2 linked regions of the Arabidopsis thaliana genome follow. The protein of the gene in region 1 interacts with the protein of each later gene in a pairwise test. Each region holds a gene or a part of one and is shown on either strand. Other genes may lie near its edges.

What was found. The genes of interacting proteins can lie anywhere in the genome.
Region 2: the proteins of CPK26 (region 1) and AT3G13410 interact in a protein complementation assay, tested with the Arabidopsis thaliana proteins (one large-scale study listed by BioGRID).

The regions. Positions count from the first base shown.
Region 1 is NC_003075.7:17,928,301-17,933,316, reverse strand, and holds CPK26 (calcium-dependent protein kinase 26), read left to right. Parts: upstream 1-1,814; 5' UTR 1,815-2,116; intron 2,117-2,134; exon of another isoform or gene 2,135-2,207; 5' UTR 2,208-2,215; coding exon 2,216-2,265; exon of another isoform or gene 2,266-2,278; intron 2,279-2,358; coding exon 2,359-2,933; intron 2,934-3,009; coding exon 3,010-3,153; intron 3,154-3,232; coding exon 3,233-3,385; intron 3,386-3,457; coding exon 3,458-3,573; intron 3,574-3,647; coding exon 3,648-3,815; intron 3,816-3,901; coding exon 3,902-4,126; intron 4,127-4,209; coding exon 4,210-4,323; 3' UTR 4,324-4,352; intron 4,353-4,415; exon of another isoform or gene 4,416-4,438; 3' UTR 4,439-4,500; downstream 4,501-5,016. Other genes in the region: CGL1 (alpha-1,3-mannosyl-glycoprotein beta-1,2-N-acetylglucosaminyltransferase), read left to right, coding at 1-32, 134-224, 340-433, 664-726, 802-840, 940-1,110, 1,195-1,311; AT4G38225 (glycerol kinase), read right to left, coding at 4,535-4,546, 4,710-4,745, 4,832-5,016. UniProt on the Arabidopsis thaliana protein: May play a role in signal transduction pathways that involve calcium as a second messenger.
Region 2 is NC_003074.8:4,361,086-4,366,278, reverse strand, and holds AT3G13410 (2-C-methyl-D-erythritol 4-phosphate cytidylyltransferase), read left to right. Parts: upstream 1-1,962; 5' UTR 1,963-2,141; intron 2,142-2,227; 5' UTR 2,228-2,246; coding exon 2,247-2,368; intron 2,369-2,501; coding exon 2,502-2,604; intron 2,605-2,700; coding exon 2,701-2,760; intron 2,761-2,944; coding exon 2,945-3,007; intron 3,008-3,131; coding exon 3,132-3,332; intron 3,333-3,435; coding exon 3,436-3,547; intron 3,548-3,637; coding exon 3,638-3,849; intron 3,850-4,037; coding exon 4,038-4,130; 3' UTR 4,131-4,644; downstream 4,645-5,193. Other genes in the region: AT3G13420 (uncharacterized protein), read right to left, coding at 1-95, 444-828, 1,091-1,284, 1,464-1,556.

The DNA of each region.
Region 1 (5,016 bases):
TAATGGACAGAAGCAGTTTGTGCATGATCCCTGTAAGATTCTTCTTCTTCTTCTTCTTTACCTTGCTTCCTCTCTTGCCTGTTCTTTCAATACCTCATTATGTCTAGCTCATGCGAGCTAAAATAATCTGCAGATGCGCTATACCGATCAGATTTTTTTCCTGGCCTTGGGTGGATGCTCAAGAGATCGACTTGGGATGAGTTATCACCAAAGTGGCCAAAGGCATATCCTTATATGCTTTTTTTTCTTTCAATCTCGATGACTATAGTTTGACGCTTCTTAAATTCTAAAAAAAAAAATAGTTTGACGTTTCTAAGACTTTTCTTAACAAATATCCACTTACTGGGATGATTGGCTGAGACTAAAGGAAAACCATAAAGGCCGCCAATTCATTCGACCGGAAGTCTGTAGAACATACAATTTTGGTGAACATGTTAGTACCCGATTATGCTATCCTATATATCATAGTTTTACAAGTCTGTTTTTGTAATGCTGTTAAATTGACCTATGTTCGCTGCATATGACTTCTGCTTTCTGTATGAAAAATGTATTATTGCAGCTTCGTCCTATAGTTTCCCGACACATGGATGTAGACAGTCAATACCACATAATATATTTTTGCATTTCATACTTATCCATAACCTTGTTATATTAATTTGGCAGGGGTCTAGTTTGGGACAGTTTTTCAGTCAGTATCTGGAACCTATAAAGCTAAACGATGTGACGGTAAGCGTAAGTGTGTTTTTTACCCCCTTTTGTTGCATCACTAGTTTTCACTGGTTTCCTATTTCATTCATAAAGGTTGACTGGAAAGCAAAGGACCTGGGATACCTGACAGAGGTAACATTTACAGAACTCCGGCCTTTTTTTTTTATACCATTTTGCATGTTTTGAGTGGAGAAATGTAGTTTTTAACCTGTTCTCTCATGTCTATCAAAGGGAAACTATACCAAGTACTTTTCTGGCTTAGTGAGACAAGCACGACCAATTCAAGGTTCTGACCTTGTCTTAAAGGCTCAAAACATAAAGGATGATGTTCGTATCCGGTATAAAGACCAAGTAGAGTTTGAACGCATTGCAGGGGAATTTGGTATATTTGAAGAATGGAAGGTAAATTTGAGATGATTGAACTATAATCTTCAATAATTGTAGGTCCAAATGGGTCACTTTTTTTGTACCCCTTTGATTGTGTAGGATGGTGTGCCTCGAACAGCATATAAAGGAGTAGTGGTGTTTCGAATCCAGACAACAAGACGTGTATTCCTGGTTGGGCCAGATTCTGTAATGCAGCTTGGAATTCGAAATTCCTGATGCAAAACATGTACTTCTCCAACCAGCATCATTTACATCTTAACCATTGCTTACAGTTCTGTGCTAACCGGGTTTCACAAGCAGATGAAAGGAAAAGAAGATTTTGGACCGCATGCAGCCTCCTTCTAGCAGCTGTTAGGTTGTATTGTTATTTATGGATGAGTTTGTCGAGCGGTGGGGTTAACTTTAACAGCAAGGAAGCTCTGGTGACCTGGCTGATTGGCTTAGAAGTTATGGGAACCCCTTGAAAGGGTCAGGGTTAAATATATTTCAGTTGTTTTATTAGTGATTATCTTGTGGGTAACTTATACGAATGCAAATCATTCTATGCAGTTTTTCTTCGTCCCACTTGTTTTGGCTTCTCTATTGCTAGTGTACATATCTCTTCAAACATGTACTAAATAATGCGTGTTGCTTCAAAGAAGTAACTTTTATTACATCTTTGGCGAGTAGCCAATCAAGGCACTCGACCCATCTTCTCTGGTATAACCCGTCAACTAGAATCTGAGGCCATGGGATCATTAAAGGTTTGTTCCGATGCGACCAATTGGAGGTCTTGATTTGTCTCATGTGAAGTAGGCCTAAGAAAAGAGCCTTGTGGAGTTCCCCTGCATTTTTAGAATATTCTAATTAAAGAGACAGATCTGTTGATGACTATTAATCAAAGATATCTTCTTCTTTTGTTATTTTTAGTCAGGATGTGGAGACGTTGGCGAGAATATTGCAAAACCATGTTCAACAATGTGTATCATCGGATCTGCACCAATCTGACTTAATTTTCATCCATTCTTATCATCTTTGTCTGGTACACATCCATCTCTTCCTCTAATTCCCCTGTTTTGATGTCTCTCCTTATTATTGCGATTTCTTTATGCTAAATTCGTATAATGTTTCAGATCTTGCTATGGGACTTGCTCTGTTTTCCTCTGATGGCAAACTAATTTGGAAGGGGAGGTGAACTAACTTGGTAAGGGATTTGTTTGATGGGCAATTCTTTACAAGCCAAACCACTTCTAATACATTTTGTCTTTCAACGATTTGTTTCAGCACACAAACTGGCAAAAGACGCCCCCAGGAAGAAGCCACAATGAAGCACAGCGGTGGGAACCAAGCCTGCTATGTTCTTGGTCAAAAGACCCCAAGCATCCGAGATCTCTACTCGTTGGGACACAAACTAGGTCAAGGACAGTTTGGGACGACTTACATGTGCAAAGAGATCTCAACAGGGCGTGAATACGCATGCAAGTCTATAACAAAACGAAAGTTGATATCAAAGGAAGATGTGGAAGACGTACGCAGGGAAATTCAAATCATGCACCATCTGGCTGGCTACAAGAACATTGTCACCATTAAAGGTGCTTACGAGGATCCATTGTATGTTCACATCGTGATGGAGCTTTGCTCAGGTGGGGAATTGTTTGACAGAATTATCCAGAGAGGACATTACAGCGAGAGAAAAGCAGCTGAGCTGATAAAGATCATCGTTGGTGTTGTTGAGGCTTGCCATTCGCTTGGTGTCATGCATAGAGATCTAAAGCCCGAAAATTTCTTGTTGGTTAACAAGGACGACGACTTCTCTCTCAAAGCCATTGATTTTGGGCTTTCCGTGTTCTTCAAACCAGGTGATAACATCAGCTGCATCATTTGCAACATCTTCAGTCAGAATTTCACACTTGCTACATCATCTGCAACTTTCAGGTCAAATATTCGAGGATGTGGTTGGAAGTCCGTATTATGTTGCTCCTGAGGTTCTGCTCAAGCACTACGGACCCGAGGCTGATGTGTGGACCGCAGGGGTCATACTGTACATATTGGTGAGCGGAGTCCCTCCGTTCTGGGCAGGTATGCACCCAAATGAAACAACTGTGATTAGGCTTCCAAGGTAAAAGATTCTTAAATATTTGTTTTGCTTCAACTCCAGAAACACAGCAAGGGATATTTGATGCAGTGCTGAAGGGACATATTGACTTTGACTCCGACCCTTGGCCCCTAATATCCGACTCTGCAAAAAACTTGATCCGTGGCATGCTATGTTCCCGGCCCTCTGAGCGACTGACAGCTCATCAAGTATTGCGTAAGTCTAACCAGTTGCTCCTATTTCAGGTCCTGAATTAGTGTATCTGCTAGCTTATTTAGAATTTTGCAGGCCATCCTTGGATCTGTGAAAATGGAGTTGCGCCAGACAGAGCACTAGATCCTGCTGTGCTTTCTCGTCTTAAACAGTTCTCTGCGATGAATAAACTAAAGCAGATGGCTTTACGGGTAAGCCCCCGGCCGCAAGCCTTTTGGCCTTTATTGTGAACAATTTTCCATAAATGTCTTCTGCTGTGATTCAGGTAATAGCTGAGAGTCTCTCGGAGGAAGAAATTGCTGGACTGAAGGAAATGTTCAAAGCAATGGACACGGATAACAGTGGAGCGATTACGTTTGACGAGCTGAAAGCCGGGTTGCGAAGATATGGTTCAACCCTCAAGGATACTGAGATTCGTGACCTTATGGAGGCTGTAAGCACTTTGCTCTGATCTGATCTGTGTGAGTACCTGCTTGAAATCAGTATGTTTAGTATTAATCTGTGACTGTGATTTACCAGGCAGATATTGACAAGAGTGGGACCATAGATTATGGTGAATTCATTGCTGCAACAATCCATCTGAACAAATTAGAGCGTGAAGAACATCTTCTGTCAGCCTTCAGGTACTTTGACAAAGATGGGAGCGGTTACATCACTATCGATGAGCTACAGCACGCATGTGCTGAACAGGGAATGAGTGATGTCTTTCTAGAAGATGTGATCAAGGAAGTCGACCAAGACAATGTGAGTGACTTATGCATACATATCCTCTGGCTTGGAGAGTACATGGTCAAAGGCCAGGGATCATTTTTTTCTTCTTGTTTCAGGATGGAAGGATTGACTACGGGGAGTTTGTAGCTATGATGCAGAAAGGCATTGTTGGAAGAACAATGAGGAAAAGCATAAACATGAGCATCAGGAACAATGCCGTCTCGCAGTGAGAAGCAAGCAATCTCACGATTATGTACAGGTTAAGCCTTTCTCACTTTTTCAAGGTAAATTCCATCAAATTCTTTCCCAAACTGACAAGTCTATACATCGGTGTACGTGAAACAGTCGTTTTTGATAGAGCTGAACGAAGATATGCAAAAGCTACAAAGCTCTGCAGAAATATGGTTCCCATGGTCTGGATCCTTCCCGGTAAAGATTGAATCAACAAAGGCTCTGCATTCTAAAACGAACTGATATGTATTATTAACAGATAAACTGAATCAAACATCAGTATAGGAAGTCATATGAGATTATTGTAATTTGACTTATGTGCACACATCCTACAAAGAAAATTATAAGAATGATCTGTGGAGATTTAAACGATTATTGATCATACATCTGATAGAGCAGTCTCTCTCCCCATTGTTACCTCCTGCGCAAAGTAAAAGAGATAGAATAATGACCACAAGTTGCAAGGAGAAGAGTATGTAGTTGTCAACAAAGAAGATTATTGGTTACCTTTAGCTTAGAATCGCTAGAGAAGACGCAGCTGGATGTGATAGCATGGCCTGGCTCAAAGACCCATCCTACTGAAAATACTCTTTCGCGGTCTTTGCCTTGTTGGAGTGAGCACCACAGCTCTTGCGGAAGCAATAAAAGATCATTTTCTTCTCTCACAATCTCAATCACCTTCTCGCCAGTAA
Region 2 (5,193 bases), on another chromosome or scaffold:
AAGGATCTGGATAGAGGAGACTTCTTTCGAGAGGCTTCTGCAGCAGATGATTGGGATCCTTTGTAAATGTCTCCAGCTGAATGGTGCTTAATCACCTACAAAAGGTTGAAAACCCACTTGCTATGTCTGTGTAAGTTTTAGAGGAGTACTGAGACAAGAAAAGCAGCATACTATGATGTAATATCAATACTATGTGGCCTTTGTTTGTTAGTGAGAAACAAGTTTCACCTAACCTAGAGTGGCAAAGAGCTAAAAAGCATGGTTGGGTGATCTAGATAGTTCAATCCAATTCTCACTATATTGCATACAGTTTCAAAAGAAAGGTCCGAAAAGAAGCATCTGGAAACCCAATTGGTAAAACCATAGACAAACCAAGTATAAAAACCTCAACTACAATGAGTACACAAACAACTTAAGAGAAGAATAGGTAGAAATAAAAAGACCTGTGTTGCATTGGGCAAAGTGATATTGCTTAGGCCGCCATCTAACAGAGGAGTGTAGGAGGCAGGTTCGTCAATAGAATCTTCCAAGATTTCGTCAGAACGTGAACGTTGCTTAGCTATAGCAGGAGCCTGTAAGAAGCTATTTCGTAATTCTGGATCACGTGAACGTTGCCTAGCTAAAAGAGGAGGTTCTAAGAAGCTATTCCGTAAATCTGAATCTGATTGACGGGGAAATGGAGAGTCTATAATAGAAGCTCCCAGCCTATAGATCTGAAACCATAACAGAGAGGACGATAGCCTCACAACGAACCCAGCAATTTCCATAGCCAGGGTGAGTTTCACAGAGAAGATGTAAAAGACTTGATACATATCAGATGAAATGTTCCTGCATTAACAATTAAATCTTTTGTCAGTTATAGGCAGCAGATGAATACTGGCTCAACAGAATCTAAACACGACATAGCAAAGATTTGCAAAAAAAAAGGTTTAAAGATCAATCAGTTCAAAAAGATGATGAGCCAATCAAGAGAAATTCAGGACAGTTTACAATATGTGATGCAATGAAAATTAAACAAGACAGAGCAAACTCTTAAACCAAATATTTGATCATGATCACAAGCACGGCTGTTCCAAGGATAGTGACATACCAAATCTCTTTGGAGAAGAGAATGAACCATGAGACATCAAGAAGAATGGCGCAGAAAAGAAGAACCGCATAGGTTCTGCCAAGACTTTGGCTATTACTCTCGATTGCTACTAACCCAAATAACGCAATCGCCAAATTTATCAGCACGACTCCATTGTACAATGCCCCTAGTGAACCGATCAACGCGCACCCTATCTGAAACAAATGATTCATCAATATGAGTTTCTTGCACTTCTAACCACAATTAAAAGAATAACAAACAAATATCGACAGAGAAATCGTAGAACCCTAATCCCAAACAGATACGAACAATTCACGAGAAAAAACGTGAAATCGGAGGAAATGAAACAACTACAAAGCGATTACGGATTTACCTGAGCATAGATAAGAATCAAAACGACAGATTGGAGCCTAACGTAGTCGCGAAGCCAATTATGTATTCGATTTCGTAACGAAACACAAAGCATCGTAAAATCTCAACCTCGCAGCTCTCGTTACTTGTTACTTCAATGGACTTTCATAATACAAAATGGCTCGACGATTCTGATGCTAAATTGCAATTTTCCGGCGAACGAAATCGGTGAATCAAGAGAGAACGACGATTTGAGAATTTTCGTGAGGGAGAAAGTAAAGAGTGTCTTTGGCGGGATCGCGTTGCAGAAGAGGCAACAAAATAAAAAAATGAGGAAACGAAATATTCCGTTCAATCGTGACGAAGTTATTATAAGATTTAAGGAGGTTTCCGTTTCTTGTCCAGAGTGACGGACGCTTAACGGAGTCACGAAATTTTGGGCCGTATTGGAAAATCTTTAAAAGCCTAATCAAGCCCAAAACTTCAGACCGGTTAATATCTGAACATAACCGAAACCGGTTATCTCGGTTAGCGATTTTCGTTTCAAAAACGACGCCGTTAATTCCTTACATGTCGACTACTCATATGTGTCGCCCAGATTTGAAGATCGGAGATATGAATCTCTTCTTTCTCTGGATTTGAAAGTTCGATAAAAATCTACTGATACATCGACTTCTGGAAGCGATCTCGATCTCTCTAGGTTTGTGATTATCTTTGAATTTGCTGATTGTTTCGTTAGGCGTGAGGAATTGTTCGATTGATTTTTTTTCCTTTTGTCTCCGGTAGAATTGTTTCGACGACGAAGATGAAGAAGATTCAAATTGGTGCGGTGGCGCTATTGGTGTTTCTATCTGTGGCCTCTCTCTTTGAAATCGGATTGGCTTCTCCGAACACAGTTCCTGCTTTCCTCTGGTCTCCGCATCTCCAGTTATGCATCTTGTTTTCTCTATAATTCTCAATTTGATTGATGGAAATGTGTAAAAAGCCTGGGACTTGTGATATCTGATGTGAGTTAGCTTAGATTACTGGGTTGATTGGTTTATGTGATTCTGAAAATCAGGTCTGCTAATGGTGAATTGGATGAGGCTGTAAATTATCAGGTCATGTCTGCAAAGGATCTAGTTGGTTCTGTTTTCACTCAAGGAGGTTGGTCAAACTTTCTGGTATGGTTTCTTCTTCATGATCTTATGATTTCAATTCTACAACTCACTGGATGTCAAATGATTTTTCTTATTGTCATTACTGTCTCCTTTGTTTAGTGCTCAGAGAAGAAGCTTGAGCAACCTGTTGATGTTGCACTTGTGTTCATAGGCAGAGAGGTAATTGAATGATGTAGTATTGTTGTTTTAACATTAGCATAAATGACCTTGTGGATCTTTGGTTTCTTGTTGTGATATTGTAAAGAAACTGATGTTTTAATATTGCGGGAAATTAATCGTCTTTGCTCTGTATCTTCTGTGTTATGCTGAGAATTCTAATATTCACGTTCTCTTCCGCCTGCAGTTACTGTCTTCTGATGTTTCTTCAAAAAGGAACTCAGATCCTGCCCTTGTTAACACATTGAATGTAAGTGCAAATTTTCTTTTCTTCAACAAGAAATTTCGAAATTGCATCCGTAACACAGATCTCTGACATAGTTGTTTGATATAAAGTTTACAATACTCTAACATCCAAGTCTTTGTTTCAACAGAATCTATTTACAGCTTCCAACTTCTCATTGGCATTCCCATATATTGCTGCTCCAGAGGAAGAAAGGATGGAGAATTTGTTACTTTCAGGGCTTAAAGAAGCTTGTCCCAACAATGTAGGAGTCAGCAATATCGTGTTCTCAGATTCGTGCTTTGTTGAGGATGGAACAATTCAGAAACTTTCAGACTTGCAGTCTTTCAAAGTAATACTCATTGCTCTTAAGTTTTTATTTTCCCTAATCCCATGCCTTCCCAGTGTTATCACCCCCTTAACTTCACTTTCTAATACTCATTAATAATTGACAGGATCATTTGCTTGCTAGAAGAGAAACAAGGAAAGAAGGAGAAACTGACTTGGTTGTGCTCTGTTCCGAGGGTTCTGAATCGAATAGTCAAGCTGGACAGTCACATTCAGAGCGTAAGTGGAAAGATCATTACAAAATAATACTAACAATTAGATATCATTTGAGAACTAGGAAATTAAGCAATTCTTTGACCTATTCTGCAGGTGAAAGCTTCTTGGAACTTGTTAGTTCTGTAGAACAATCCGGCAGTAAATATACAGCTCTTTATGTTTCTGATCCTTATTGGTACACATCTTACAAAACTCTCCAAAGGTTTCTAGCTGAAACTGCTAAAGGAAACAGTACTCCTGAAATTGCTACTGGCTGTGATGAACTCTGCAAATTTAAGTCATCACTTTTGGAGGGCATACTAGTGGTAATTACTCTTTTTACTCGTGTTTTTTTGGTATTCATCGTTCTCAAGAAAGATTCATAAACATCATAGAATGGACAAGTTTAATGAGCATCTTGGTCATATCTAGCTGGAAGATAATTTAATTCAATGTGTTAAAATTTCGTAAAAGCCTTTGATTATGTCTCGTCCTTTTCTTTTTCTTTTTGCAGGGAATCGTTTTTCTTCTCATCTTGATCAGTGGACTTTGCTGTATGGCGGGTATCGATACACCGACTAGATTCGAGACTCCTCAAGATTCTTAAGCTGTTGACCTTAAGAGCCATCCCCACCTTTTGCTTTGCTTTTGACGAGTCTTTTCTTGTGCATAGTGCGCATTGTGGAAGGTACTTCAATGTCGATTTGTTACATTATTACTTCAAAACAAAATCTGCATATGCCATAAAATCCCCTTGTATCATTTATTCATCTTGTTTGTGAGTCTTTCTTAAACGTCATAAATTAATAATGGAGAACGAGTAAAAAACCAGAGATACATACACTGGAGAACGGATTACATTCTTTTTCAGAATTTTTTTTGTTTCTTTTTCTTAGATTATATTCCGGAGTTATCGTGCTCATAGTATCGTATTCATATCAATTTGGGGATTCGGACATAGATTTTCTGGAAGAAAAAAACTCAGGACAATAATGTCGGTAGAGTCAGAGTGGTAGGACATGTGTGTGTACCATCACTTGTATAGATAGATAGAAAGATAGATATAGATGATAGTTTTGTGAACAATTAAGAAAATAGTAAGAATACATATATAAGTTTTGTCATGCAACATGCAATTCTAATCCAAATTTAATGTTTGCCTCGGCATGTTTAGTCATTATTAAGTAATATCGATTGAGCAATTAGCAGTTTATAATTTATCTAGATAGACCTTTTGTTTTGACTATTTCGTTGATTTGTTCCATGATTCAATACTTAGCAAAACATCTTCATATGTTGGGGTCCTTATGGTCCCTGCATGGACCTATTGACAAAGTCATAAGATCAATCTTTCAGATTCTTTGATTGACCTCTCTCTCTCCATAAAGAAGCGTATAAAGAATCAAAATGACCGAAAACGATGGTTCTATTCATCTTTTCCCCACTATACATACTCCTACATTTATTCTAACATAACACTATTCGTATCCCTGTTTTTTTCAAAGTTTATACTATAACAAATACATGACTGTATTTGTCTAATTACGAAGAAGTTTCAAAAGCATCATTTATGAACAATGTTTATCTTTTTTTTTCTTACACAAACATTTATAAAAAATCATGTCACCATGACATGTAGCTTAGTTTTATACTAGCGATATTTTTGTGTC